Caenorhabditis elegans: one gene and its partner. The protein of the gene in region 1 purifies or fractionates together with the protein of each later gene. This does not show direct contact. Each region holds a gene or a part of one and is shown on either strand. Other genes may lie near its edges.

Region 1 (7,443 bases):
AAACTTTTGTCAAAAGACTATTCTCTTAAATGAGTGAAATATGTTACTGGCAGTTTCAAATAGTTTGGAAGAAAGTTTAACTATAATAATGCCAGCCTGTGCATGCCTTATGCCTACACACGTGTCTTCTGCCAAAGTAAAACTTTCCCCAATTCTTAGTAGTTAGTTAAAATTTCCACAATAAACACCAAATAACTAACAATTGGAAGCCGGTGTCAAAATTCAAAAAATAAGTGATATGCAGGCATGAATCAGGCCCGCATAAAAAAGTGCCTTCCTATCAACACTAAAATAATTTTAGATTTATCAGGCCTTTTGACTTTGAAAAAGGTTTTGTAAAAATGTTTATTATCCAATTCCAATTCCATTTAAAAACTTACTGTTTAATTTCTCCGTTTCTATTATCGAACATTGTTGTTGGAAATCTCACAATCATATTATGACTTCCAACACTTTCCTTCATAATCATTGGAGCTACTGTAGGCACTGGTGGTGCCATAAGTGGCATTGAAACAGTCGGAACAACTGGAGAATTCTCTCCGAATCCAGCTTCAGTCACTGCCCGAACACTGAAACTGTAAGTGTGTCCTCCAAAAAGTTCATCAATGACCACTTGAACAGTATGATCGGAACGATTCGAGGAGACTCCAACATCAATTGTTCTAGTCTCATCCGATCCTATTTTAGTCACATTAACTGCGTAATGCGTTAGAATTCCATTTGGAAGTGCTGGTGGAAGCCACGTGAGCATCACTGAGTAAGAATTCAATGGTTCAACTGAAATAAATACTTAGTTTAAATGCCAATTTTTTTTAAACCAACCTTTCAGATCTTGCACAGCCGCTGGTTTATCCTGTCTCGTAGAAAACGACAATTGCCTCATTGTCCTTGTAGCCGCTGGACACTGTGGAGTCTCACTGCTTCCACTTCCACATATAATTTGTGTATTTACTGTATACTTGTGAAATGGGCTTAATCCATCCAAATTGAGCAATGGAGCAAATGTTGCAGTGAGTTGCATTCTCTTATCGAAAACACTTTTCCCATTCATATCTCGTACAACAATATGCATTTGACAATTTGATATGGATGTGGAATCGTGATGAGTTGAAAATACAATTCGAAGAGTTGCAGATGACCTTGTAACACTTTCCAATGAAACATTCACTGCTGGACTTGACATTCGAATTGTTTCATTGTGACGTGTCTCAGATATTATTCCAGTTTTTGTAACAGTGAATAGTTGAACACGATAGCATGCTCCTTTTACAAGATTCTTCGCGAATACGGGATCTATATTTTTTGGAGATGTTTCAAACTTTAGAGTTTTATCTGTCTCATCATTGTTTCCAATTGGAGTTATTCTCATATTCAAAAGACTTTCCGCTCCAACTACTTTGTTCCAAATATCTTTGACACGTGTCATAAAAACCTCACTTTTCGGCCATATCAATTCAATTCCTCCGTTCGATTCCTGAAAAATTATATATTTGTATTTAAATAAAAAATTTGAGAACAAATTAAATTTTTATTTATTAAAACTAGAAAGTTTACCTGCAGTGTTAATCCAAATGCATTGAAATCAAAAGCTGGTGTGAGCACGATGCTCTTCTGAAGTTTCTGACTTGCAGACTCATTTGCCATCGAAGAAATCGAAAAATCGAAACGTTCTCCCGGTGAAAGTGCAAAGTTAAACCAGCATCTAAAATATAAAATATTAAATTAAGAGCGCATTTCCTATAACTCACATTTTGTGTCCAGATTTAGTTTGTTCAATATTCGCGTAATTGACTGATCTTTCAGCTTCATCTCCAGCAACTGTTATCTGACACTTATCAATTTTAGACGACGTTGGTAGCTCCGCAAGAAGTTTGTACTTTCCACGTTTCAAATCAGCACGAACCTAAAAATCGGAAATAAGAAATTTTAAATTAATCTTTAAAACAGTCTTATATTTTGATTTTTCTCAGTAATTGATTGCTTTTTTTGAAAATTTGAATGGTTGACAAGAAATAAACAAATAAAACTCACTCTAAAGTCAATTGGTGGAAGGGGACGAAGCTGAAACTTTGTGATCAGTGGTTCAGAGACTTGACCGCCTTTTTGAACAGTCGCAATAATTTGATATGCTTCTCCTTGCAACATTGAATCACATATTGATATGGAAGATTCTGTTGATGGAATTGTCATCTGAAAATGAAAAATTCATATTTGAAAAGTAGTCGGGAAGAACATTCAAATATAACTAATTTTTTGACTTTCGAAAGAAATTTGAGTCACGTTTGAGACGAGTTTCCTTTGTAGTTAAGATATATATTTTTCCTTTCTTGAAACCTTTAATATGACTTACATTTGTTGAGTTGTTAGGAGTTGATTGAAGTGAATATTGAATTGTATAAAAATCAGCTCCACTGAATTCATCATTTTGCCATGAAACTTCCACACACGATCCAGCGTTTTGATTAATATTCACTTCTTTCAATGGCGATGGCTCTGAAATTTTTTCAATAATATTTGAAACAACTTTCAATAACTAACTTGTAGTAAGAGTTGATATCCATGGTCTACTACTCATTCCGTCTTTATGCGCAATTACTCGAACTGAATAATCAAATCCAGAATTCAAATTTCCAAGGTAAAATTCCAAATTTTTCTGCTCCGGGATGTCGAGAATTTGGAGAACTGGAAATTTCTTGTCCGGATTTATTTGTCGATATTCAATTGAGAACGAATCCTGAAATTATGAGCATTGCATCTAAAATGGTAAGGTATTCTTACTTGAAGATAAGAATCATTTTTAATTGTTCTCATTGTGATGTTGTGCTCAGCGACTTGAATATCAGAATCCATGGATCGAAAGTCTGGCGCTCTCGGATCCATTACAACTGATTCTTCTTTTATCAGAGAAGTTGATCCATCCTTTTGACCGTGAATGGCAATTCTGAAATAATTATCCTATAGATATATTGTTGTTGGAAAATACAAACTAAATGTTCAGTTGTACTTCTCTTTGGAATACAAAAATTAATCTGAACTACAATTACATAAACTTTAAATCTACAAAAATGTTTACTTCAAAATTCCATGTTAAACAAACATTTCCAAACACTTACAGAACAGAGTTGTGAATTAATCGATAGCATTTTATAAAGAAAATGAAACTTTAGTTATTGTTTTGTAAGCTGAAGTAGCCAGAACAGGTGGAATTTTTTCGAATAATTGAATATCAGTTAACAATAGCAGTTCTCCCAAAAACGTATATTAGTTTTCAAAATTGGCAAGATTTGGGAAAACGCTTTACGAAAGCGCCAAATTGCGAGAACATTAAACTGTGTCTCAGAAGATGAATTTTTTATTTGGAATTTTTATTTCCTTCTAATTTTCTGCATAGTTAAAACAAACTTACGAATAACGATGTCCGGCACGAAGAGCATGTATTCGAATACTATACGGAGCATCATCGGAAGAAACGAATGTTTTGTTGGAATCTCTGACTTCGTCCGAACTGAAACCACAAATAATTAATTTTAAAAAATTCTATTGAAAATCTTGATTAAAAACTCACATATTCTCAGTGACATCTTGAATCTTGGCGGCAAAACTTTGATACAATGGATGCCGTCTTGGTAATGAAACAAGAATCTGTGACCAAGGCGATAAGGAATCCTTCTTGATGGCAAATAACTCGTGCTGCTCAGCCGATGTTGTCAGTGAATCTGATTGACATTTCGAGAGGTGCAGCACGAGAAATAGCCATATGAGAGAGTGTAGTTCGTACTTCCAGCGTATCATTTCATGATCCAAAAAAATAAAAAAAGTTGAATAAAAGGGAATAGATAGATGAAGCAATTCGAAAAGAAGGTCAAAATGACAAGAAAGAAAATGACAATGACAAGAAACACAAGATTGAGAGGGAAAGTGATCGAATTGACCGTCGGAATTGAAAAGATTCGGAAGAGAGAGTAGTTTATCACTTCAGAAGTGTCTTGCGAACTTTCCAATTAGCAAGAAAAATATGAGGGTTCAAGGGGAAAATAGGGTCATCATGTTTTACGTTTGACCCAATGGCCGCTTTGATGATTGCAAAGAAATTTGAGATAAGTTGAGGGAAAAAGTAGAGAGCTTTTTTCAGATTCAGAATTTTTAAAGTTTAGGAAAAATTCCTCAAAAACAAATTTGAAGATTTTTATTTTGAAAATAAAGTTATTAAGCAACTACTGAGACAGGTATTGGAAGATGTCAAGTGAGGCTTCAACTGTTGACGGAACAAAGAGAAGCTTGAAGAGTAATTCTGGTTAGAAGAAGAAACTGGTAATATGGAACAATCATCATCATAATGACAAGGATGGAAATGGTAGAATTCATAGAATAAATATGTTTTTTAAAATAAAATGCATGTTCAATAATAGAGGAGGAGAAATGTTGTTTGAAAATTTAAAATTCAAAAAGTCAATTGTTCCAATTTGAATCACATTAGAAATGCGAAGGAGAAAACCAGAAAATACATTCATGAGTCATCCTGGATTGATCAAAGAATTAATGACCGAATTTGTAAAAAAAAGGTACCTTTAGGAAAAATGTTTCAAGAAAAAACTTTTGGCAAATGGTGGTTCGAGAATGTCTAGTTTTTTGAAAAGATTTAAAATACCATAATTTATCAGAAATACGATAATGTAACCAAAAACATCGAAATATGAGCTGAGTCAGATTTCGAGTTCAATCAGAAAGAGTACGGTAGATATGTTTGAATAAATCTTTAAGATTTAAAAATGGTATAGTAGAAGGGACAAAGAAGGATGTCCTCACTTAGTTGTATGCATCTTTGTATGTGGATTGTTCAGTTCGCACAAAACTGTGGTTTTTGGGGGGAGAAAACGGATTGGTGTCTGTCTCCTGTGGAGTGGCGGGAAAGCAGCAAGAAGACGGTGCCGAGATGAGTGTCAAGGACGTCGAAGAGACGCAGACATCCGACGATGCCATATAGTCAAGTACTCCTTGTGTCGCCAAAACGAAGATGCCATTCATCTACTTCAAGGTGACAATAACATCGGGAAACGCACAGAGTCGTATTTTGTAAAGTTCAGAGGATTAAGTTAAAGTCTCTGAAGATCCAGGGTATGAAGAATCTACTTTTACTGACCTACAGTTATAACGAGGTAACGATTCAGGAGATGAGGCTGGCGGCTACGATGCGCTGAAGCGCAAATTAACATTTTCTCAAGGTAACTGGTGGGAACTGGGAATTAGGTACCATAATTTATTTTCACTTGACACCATATTCTATAGGTCAACAGCTATTTCAGAAAAAACGATTTCTGAAAGTTTGGCGCCACTGTATTTTTTCAGAAATAAAATGGATTTTCGTAAGAAAAATAACAAATTAAATTAAAATAATATAGTATACTGCAGACAGAAATATTTTCAGAATTTGTTTTTGCACCAAAACGTACAGTTCTGTGCAATAATCTAATTTGGGACTGTCTATGTCTTTTTGGAAATTCCAGAGGTATTAAGGGGTATAGCGTAAAAACCTAAGATTACAAATTTGCAAAGAAGAATTTCATGATTTAGATACGAGAGATCAAATTTTTGTAGTAATGAAGAAATATGAGAAGTATCAAATGAGCCAAGAAGATGCCGGAAGATGTAAGGAAATGAAGAAAATGACCCGAATGAAGAGTGAAGATTTACGAGCATCTTGCGGTCATCCCCTCCCTCTGATTGTTTATAATAATAGATGTTAGAAGAAAAGAAAGAATGAAGGAACGCATAAACACAATAGTTTATTTTTCTATTCATTTCTCAAGGCAATACGAGGATCTAATCCACAAAAACGGATTACTGTTGTTTAAAAGGCAACAATTCTTGAATGTTTATGTTTTGAATCATTCACCACATCACACTCGTCCCACCAAAAAGTCCTATACGGTAATTGATACTGACGTGTTGGAAACGAATCGAAATGGTATAGAGATGGGGAAAGAAAGAGAAGGAAACAGGTTGGATGCATAGGCAGCTGGAATCTATTCAAGGGGTCGCTAGGAATAAGGACGGTAAGCAACGATTAGTCAGTAAGTGAAAAAGGACAGGAAGGTATTGGCGTAGGTAATTTGAAAGGAGTTGGATAAATTGAGAGAAATGGAAGAAATAGTTACATTCAAAGTACAGGTAAGTAATTTTGTGGCAGCGACTTTAAGTAAATGTTTTTGAGCTTTGTGTTTGAGCCAATCAAAAATTTTAGAGATCGGCAGTTTTGGAAATTGCCGGTTTTGGAGATATTGAGCAACTGGGAATTTACGGCAGTTGTCGGTTTTAAAAGTATTTGGCTTTTTTCAATAACCGGCCATTTCTAAATTTAATGGTCTCGGAAATTTTCGGTACTATGGCACATTCAGGCAATGGAAATAATATTTTCCGGAAATGTAAAAAGATTAAAACAAAATTATGTAATTAAACAAATTAATTAGAATTGAAACTTTTCAATATTATTTAGACAAAAGATATTTGAAAGTGAAACCGATCTTATGGGCTTTGTTTGAGTTAAAATTGGCACAAAAATAATTGCTTTTAATATAAAAATAGTTTAAGTAATAAAGTCTAAACCCTTCAAGAAAACAAAACAAATCATCAAAATAAAATAAAAAGATGAGAAGTGAGAGAAAACGTTTTGACGATAAGAAAAAGTGCATACGCAAATAAAGACCGACTGACCGAAGAGATGCTCTTTTTGAGAGCTCGTTGGAAAGAATGGATCTGTTCCGGGATTTACTTGATTGGCTTTTTGAATGATCGAAATATAGTCTAGTTTCTTTTGAAACAATTTTAAGACGCTTATCTAGAATGAATTCGGGAAGACTCTTTGGAAAAATACATATTGTGCAAGCATAATGTAAAAAGTTAATTTTCAAAATGAAGATTTCAGCTCAATTTTAAAAATTGAAAGATTGTGAAGTGAAGAAAGCTAGACTGTTTTTGTCCCGTATTCAAATAAATATTGAATTAACCTTTTGATATTGCTTGATAAATAAACGAAAATCTATGCCATGATGACAACTTTGAAACAAATAAAATCAGCCTTGATTTTTTGAAATTATATTTCATCTAGTCGAACCCTGCATTTTTTAAAAAGAACAAATTTCTAGTTATCTCCAGGAGTTCCACATGAGAAAATAGCAATAAACATATTTAATTTGAAAAACTACTTTTGGAGCAATCTTATAATTGTGAACCAAAAAGAAATAGGGCACAACCTGGTGTTTTTTTTTCAGAAACTCATCCAGAAGCTGATGTGAAAAGAACGGAGGAATTTGTGAGAGATTTCTTGAAAAGAGAGTAGGGATGCGCAGGCAGTCTAACAAATAATTGAGTAATAATAAGAAAAGAAACAAAAGTACAGAGTAATGACGAGTTTTCGTTTATTGTGTCTCTGTAGCTTTCGGGTTA
Region 2 (7,443 bases), 1.1 Mb from region 1:
TTCTGGAATTTTTTTTGAAGCCAGATTACATTCTCAAAATTTTATTTGTTTTTAATTTTCCATGTGATAAATGTTTGACAGTAATAGCAAAACTTATTCCTGCCGAATACCTCTCAAAAAGCACAAACACCAATTTATTCCGAAGCTACAGTAACCCTACAGTACCACTACAGTACATATAGTAAAGTTCAAACTACAGAGCTTTATGAATACATAGTAAATGATTTATCAATATAACATTTCAGAATAATTGCCACATACTCATACGACGGAGAGCCGTTTTTCCAAAAAAAGAATGAGCTCCTGAGATTTCGACATTTTGAAATGGGAGAAATGGATCAAGCAATCAAAGTATTGGAGAACGAGGTGGTGAAAAGAGTCCGAGTCCTCGAGTATAAAATCTCCAACCAGAAGCTGGATCTCGATTGGCTGCAGAAAAATAAGGATGCCATTGTGAAACTGTCGGCTCTGCCGAATATGAAGCTTGTTCAGCGAAAGTGGGAACTTGAAGTGACTGTGAAGCGGATTGAAAAGGATTCAGCTGTCAGAAGACCTGGTATTGAGCTTTATCTAAAGAGTTTAAGATCTGTAATTTATTTTATAGAGTTCCTGGCTGACTGCTCGACGTGTATTGTTCATGTTCTATCACAACGTCCATTGCAAATTGAGATGATACCGGCATTTAGATTGGAAATTCGAGGTATTTCTTTTCGGAAATTCAACAAATTTCCGTTTTTCTTATTTCAGAGTGTCACCGAAACGAAGTGAGAAAGTTCATCGAAAACCACAGCACTCGAATTTCGTCCCGATCGTAAGTCTATTATTTAGTTATTCTACAATTTCTTCAATTTACAGAAACATTCTTCGTTATAATTGCGACTTTTTAGAAATCATTGACAGAACTGAAGATCTTACGATTTATTCTGAAGGATTGCGTGAGTTTTTCGATAATTGTTGCGTCATCTGAAAACTGAAAGATTAAGGCTTAATAATGATAGTTGATCTGCTCGATGGTGATCGTGATCGATACTTTGTCGCTCTGGAGCAGTTGGAAGAAGCTGTAGCATATGAAAAAATAATTGTTGGTCTGAAAAGCTATTCTCGTGGACATGGCGAAGCTGCATCGAATTTTCTCACTAAGCTGGCGGATCTCCATAACAAAATGCCAAAAATCACCGTTGTCGTAAATGTCGACCGAAGCGAGGATATCGAGAAAATTGTTAATGAATCAATAATCTAAAATTATAATTGCACACTGTTATTATGATCTCAATTCTGTGTTTTTACAACGTTTTTTTTATATTTTTCCTTTTTATTACCGTACGGTGTTTCAAAAAATTAACGAGATGCAAAAAGTAATAAAAAAAAAGTCAACAACAAAATAACGAGAACAATAAAAAGGTGTGGTATTTAGAGATGTATAGGACGAATCCCTCAAAACAAATAAAATCAACAAAAATTAATTCGTATACCTTGCATTCTCACTTCTTGACATTTCCGTCGAGCTGTGCCTTCAGAAGATTTGCTCCTTTTGAGTTATAGCCATCCAAGTGTTTTCTGCTGATCGAAGCCTTCAATTTTTCAATAACTTTCGGTCCTCCAACTTGAAGCATTTTCAAGAGAACATGGCAACCGCGATTGCAAGTCACCCACGAGCCAAGCTGCTTGCTCGTAAGTCCTTCTGCCAATGCAACTGACAAACGTTCATCTTCTTGTAGAGCGGCATCACAGCGCATGACTGCCATGAGAATGAAATTGCCCGATTGGTGTTCAATAATGTGGAAGCCTTCCTGGTCCATTGGTACAAAGTCCTTCTTCGCCAATTCAACGATCGCTTGGTTGCAACTCTTGCGAGCTTCTGCTGGGACTTGTCGATCGAACAAATCGAAGCTTGCTGAAAAAAACTCGAATTCTTTATAATTGTGCAACTTTTAAACTTACAGGTGGTTTCGAGACATGCAGCCACGAATTTTGACTTGTTGGCCTCGAAAACAAGCTCTTCGAAGTTAGCAGCCAAATAAGGATACAAGTTCTCGGTAATACCGGCGTACAACTGTCCATATCTATCCTTTTGAGTTTTCTTCGAGTGTGGATTGCTATCACCTTCGGCAAGGAATGTAATTTCTCTTTTGTCGATTCCTCTTCCATCTCTTGGATGCACCAAATAGTGGATAACTTTCTCTCCCCAATCATCTTCGATCAACTTCTTCATTTCATTTGCCAACTCGGAGACAATAACCTTATTGAGAAGAACAGTATCGTCGACAGTATCAAAAAGTGCAAGAAGAACACGATGTCCGTAATGTTCCATTGCGGCTTTTACTGACAAATCCTTGAAATTCTTGACGATCAATTTTCTTTCCTTGACTGGAGCAAACCAAATGAGTTTAATAGCCAATTTGGCACCATCTGGAGTATGAATGAACTCGGGAATTTTATCTTTCAGTGAATCAAGGAGATTGATTTTCTTTTCCTCGTCGCAATTATCGAAAAAGTCGAGCATAAGTTTGTGCAGAATTGAAAGTCGCAAAGTTTCTTTTTCATTCACTGCTCCAATAACCTCGTCCAAATGCTTCAAAATCACAACCTTCTTTTCCGGCTTTTCAGCGAGAATCTCCGTCAGAGATCTGATATTGTCTTCCTGAAATCAACAAACTATTTTTAGAGCTTAATTGAATGTTGTTTACTCTGAACAAAATGAATTCTTTTCCATAAAATTCAGTAATGATGTTGTAACGCTGATGGGCATTAGCGAAGTCATTGTAAGCATATTCAAGAACTTCGGCAGCATGTTTGATTCTGAGCAGGGTTGGAGCATGTCCGCGGAATGCATTAATGATAATATCACGTTGTTCTTTAGTTCCATTCTTCAACATTTTCTTGACGAAAAATTTGGAATAGACGTTCTTTGACATCCTCACTATTTCTGGGGTTAATTCGTTGAACACTGCAATAATTATGTTCTCGTAATTATTCATGGGAACCTTCAAAAAACTTACAGTTGTTAATGATTCCTTCTCTTTCAGTGGCAACAAGACATTCGATAACTCTGCTGGTGTCGTGAGCATAGATCAGCTTGGCAGCGTGTCCTTTTACAAGACCATACAACTCGTGAACCGCAGTATCCTTTTCAGCTTTTGGCGTCTTTCCCATTCTGATCTTTTCCCAAAGTTCCTTGCATTTTTGAGCACGAGCTCCTTCAGGTTTTCTCTTCAATTTCAACTCCTTCAAAAATGCTTTTCTTTCTTTTCTCGGCATATTCAGCAATTGTTCTTTAACAGACTTTGTGACTTGAATAGCTACTCTCTTTCTCTTTAGAGTTGGAATGTCAATATGAGATTCATCTCCACCTGCTTGTTCGTCGACAGATTCCAAATTTTCATCGTCTGCTGGCTCAGAAGCAACGGCTTTCTCTGCATTAACCTTCACTTTTTTCTTTGGGGGAGCGGAATGCTCTTCTTCTTCTTCCTGAGCAACTTTGACAGTCTTCACTTTGGCAAGTTTCTGAAAAAAAACAATTGTGTAAAAGACGATATATTGAATTAACAAACCTTAACCTTCTTATCAAGAGGGGATCTGAGAATTCCTCTTCCTGGAGATGCCTCTGATGGTTTGATTTGAAGATCCTGAACTCGCTTATCGAAAACCTTAACATGTTCAAGTTCTCCTGAGAAAAGCACTTTTTTCGATTTCTTTTTCGGTGCTGGCTGGCTTCCGAACGAAGACTCCGAGCACAAAGAGTCACGAGTCCCATCATTATCAAAAACTGATGTTGAAGATGACTTTTTCAACCTTTCCAACTCGTCCTTCACAGCTTTGTCTACTTTGCTTTTTAACGCTGCTTTTTCTTCAATCTGAAATATTTCACAAAAAATTATTTACAAAATGAAGTAATTTAACAAACCTTAACAATTCGCTTTCTGTCTACTTTGTTGAGTTTTAATCCTTTTGCCTTTTTCTCCAACACATTTTTAACCTTCTTCTTCCCTTTGAATTTTTTATTTTTGTCGTCGAGTTTCACCATTTTTACCCGCGAGATTTCTCTGAAAGACACGCATATTAAAAGGAGTAATAAACACAAGACAATTTTATGTGAGGTTTAAGCGATTTTTACTTTGGAAACAAATTGCACAGCTTCAAAATAGTAACAAAAAGTTACGAAAAAGTAAAGAAAAATGAAAAGAAAATGTTAAAGGCGCATGTTGTCTTCTGACGTCTCTCAATTTACACACTCTCTTCTTCGTCGTTGCGAGACCTGCCGCAATGTTCGTCTCTCCCGTAAATCGACATTGGAAAATCATCATTTGAAATTTTATTTCCATTTAGCTGCCATTTTCAGATTATCAGCTTTTATTTTCGCAATAATTCTACTATTTTTAACGCATTCAAATAAACGAATTATTAAATATTAAATTTTAACGGTTCTTCTGATTTCCGCAGAAATAAAACACGTACCAGTTGCAATCATATATGTGTTAACATAGTTTTTATTTTGCAGAATGAGTTCAATCGGTACCGGCTACGATCTCGCCGCCTCTACTTTTTCTCCTGATGGCAGAATTTTCCAAGGTTTGTTTCGATTTTGCTTTGTTCAAAATACTCATAATCTCGTTTTCAGTCGAGTACGCTCAAAAGGCTGTCGACAATGCAGGAACAATGATTGCAATTCGTGGCAAGAACGGAGTTGTGGTCGTTGCTGACAAGCTGATCTCTTCCAAACTTTACACTGATGTGAGTAATTTAAGAGATTTTCAAGATTTTATCTATAATTTTCAGAACGCTAATCCAAGAATGTTTAACGTGAACGACAATGTTGGTGTCGCAGTTGCTGGAAACTATCCAGATGGTTTCGCTCTGAAGAACTATGCTTACGGAGAAGCAATGAAGTGGCTCAAAGACTACCGTGAGCCAATGCCGATTCAGAATATTGCTAACTCAGTTGCTGAGTACATTCACATTCACACTCTCGGCATTAGTCGTCCGTTTGGAGCAGGAGCCTTCTTCATGTCATGGAACAAACAAACTGGAGGACGTCTTTTCCTTGTGGAGCCATCAGGTCTAAACTATGAATACAAGGCATGGGCTGTCGGAAAACATCGCCAAGCCGCAAAAGCTGAGATTGAGAAGCTGAAGATCGAGGAGCTGGATGTGAATCAACTCGTGAAGGAAGCTGCTCGAATCATTATGGTGGTGCGTGACGAGAACAAGGATAAAAACGTTCAAATCGAAATGGGATGGGTCGGTGAGCAGACGAACGGAAAGTACGAAGAAGTTCCAAGCGAGGTTGTCACTGCTGCCGAGGAATGGGCTATTGCCAAGCTTGACGAGGACGACATGGACGATTGAATCATTCTCGTGTATTTATTCACATTTTTAATTTATTATCAGCTCTCTTCTTTCTGCCCTGGTAAACTTCTTGCGCTCGGCGAGTCATTTTATTGTACTTCAAACCGACTCACCGACTTCAAGAAGAACTTTTTGCACCCGGATGTTTTTTTTTAACTTTTTCTGTTCATTATTTTTCGGTTTCCCGGTATTACCCATTTTTCTCAATACAAATTCAGACAAACCAGAAACATGTTTATGCACAATTCGCTGGGGGCAGTAGACCCGTCCCAAATTATGGCGCTATGTACAAACAAGGATAACAACAATTTTTTAAGTTATGCGGCAACTGCTTGAACTGCTTCCTCGATCATCACACTTTGACCAGTCTTCTGTTTCTCCAAGCACTCAAATACAGAATCTCGAAGATGTCTGTATGTTCTCGTAAGCTCTCCCATTCCAGTTTTCAATCCATTCGAGACGTAGGCAATCGTGATCCCATCTTCCAAATCCATCATTACTGTGCTGCCACCGTAACCAGGATGTCCAACAAGCCACTTTTTCTGAAAAAATAATTGATTTATTATTATATTTATTAAAACGATGCTCACCCCTCCCATTGGATGTCTCTCGTATAGGAAACCATGTCCTTTTGGTAGAGGAGTCATGACAACTTCATCAATCCCCTGAACTTGGGGGGCACGGAACTTTTCTAGAAGTTCAGTAGAGAACAGTTTTCCTTGTTGTACGAGTGAGAAAAGTCTAGCTAAATCTCTTGACTTTGTAATACCAAGAGCAGCGACTTGCTCCATAGCATGTAGAGTTGGATTATTAAAGGTGTTCACATCCTGTTCCAACTTGAACCACGTTGGATTTGCAGCAATCTTTCTTGCAATAGAATTTGGTGGTCGAAGATTAAAAACTGCAAGTACAATCAGAACACGTGGATCATGAACAATCTCCCGAACGAGATGAAGTGTGGACGGCATTGAAAGACGGGATACGGTATGCTCTTCGCTTGGCGGTAATCCAATATGAAAGTCGATTCCGTGAACATCGGCGACTTCTTCTTTGAAGAATCGTCCAACTGATCGACCTTTCGGATCGGAGCGTCGAACGATTTGATCAACGATCCATCCGTAAGTAATTGCATGATATCCAGATTTAGTTCCAGGTTCCCAGTTTGGTTTTTGTGATGCGATGACTTCACTCATTTTCTCGAAATCGTTGGCGTCTTCGATGGTTATTGGCATATCGAGTGCAGCAAGACCTGCCTGGAATTAAGAATTTACTTGAATGTGATTCAGCATGCGAATTTTTATAATTTATTATTGCATTGCGATTTTCTGGCGCCGCCTTTTTCCCATTGGGTCTCGCCACGATCTCAGTTACAGTAACCGCTACAGGCTCCAAATTTAACAAATTTTTTCGTTTCATATTGAAAATGTAGTTGATAAAGTTTCGAATTTTAAAGTGCACAGAGAAAACCAGGATTTACAATTGAAAATTTAGCACCTATTGTCTCGTTTCCACTAGAAAAGAGCTTTTAAAAAATGAGTTCCTTTGGAGTGAGCTCACAGTTTTCCATATATTATGGAGACGCAGAAAAATGCATGTTTTAAATCGAGGTGGAATTGCGCTCCAAGGCTAAATTATAACGCTCCTCTCCCAAAAGCTGGGTCTCGTTAGGCATTAGCGGCAAAACCTTAACTTCAAACGTTTCTAATTATTGATGCCGGCAATTCTTAGGCAGCGCTGCCTAAGAATTTTTTGGACCTCGAGTTAGATTTAGAAACCAAAAAGATTAAACATACTCTGTGTGACATTAACCAATCGATTGTGATATTCTCCTTCCCATTTTGTGCAAACTCTGGCCAGATCTTGCTCATCTTGTCATCATAACTGATGTGACCTCGATCAACCAACATTGCCACACAGACTGCTCCAACAGCTTTCGTTGTACTGAACACGACTGTTCTCGTGTCAGGGGTCCATTTCCTGCCCGACGCCTTGTCCGCATACCCGCCTTGAAGATCCACAATCACCCGATCCTTGTGGTATACGGTAATCGACGCACCCTCACGTTCCCAACCATCGGCAAAGTTTCGTCTGAAATCG

What was found.
Region 2: the proteins of dep-1 (region 1) and puf-12 purify together in Caenorhabditis elegans (affinity purification with mass spectrometry, with the first as the bait; one large-scale study listed by BioGRID). This does not show direct contact.

The regions. Positions count from the first base shown.
Region 1 is NC_003280.10:9,015,976-9,023,418, forward strand, and holds the start of dep-1 (Receptor-type tyrosine-protein phosphatase dep-1), read right to left. Parts: upstream 3,824-7,443; 5' UTR 3,793-3,823; coding exon 3,566-3,792; intron 3,506-3,565; coding exon 3,407-3,505; intron 2,942-3,406; coding exon 2,779-2,941; intron 2,735-2,778; coding exon 2,539-2,734; intron 2,494-2,538; coding exon 2,351-2,493; intron 2,191-2,350; coding exon 2,032-2,190; intron 1,904-2,031; coding exon 1,749-1,903; intron 1,703-1,748; coding exon 1,555-1,702; intron 1,475-1,554; coding exon 823-1,474; intron 778-822; coding exon 381-777; intron 1-380.
Region 2 is NC_003280.10:10,096,910-10,104,352, reverse strand, and holds puf-12 (Pumilio domain-containing protein 12), read right to left. Parts: upstream 4,044-7,443; 5' UTR 4,025-4,043; coding exon 3,905-4,024; intron 3,855-3,904; coding exon 3,552-3,854; intron 3,505-3,551; coding exon 3,000-3,504; intron 2,948-2,999; coding exon 2,688-2,947; intron 2,642-2,687; coding exon 1,942-2,641; intron 1,895-1,941; coding exon 1,482-1,894; 3' UTR 1,292-1,481; downstream 1-1,291. Other genes in the region: putative RING finger protein ZK945.4, read left to right, coding at 246-556, 605-700, 748-811, 856-935, 984-1,240; pas-7 (Proteasome subunit alpha type-3), read left to right, coding at 4,500-4,569, 4,619-4,731, 4,777-5,346; lact-2 (Beta-lactamase domain-containing protein 2), read right to left, coding at 5,664-5,888, 5,937-6,599, 7,140-7,434.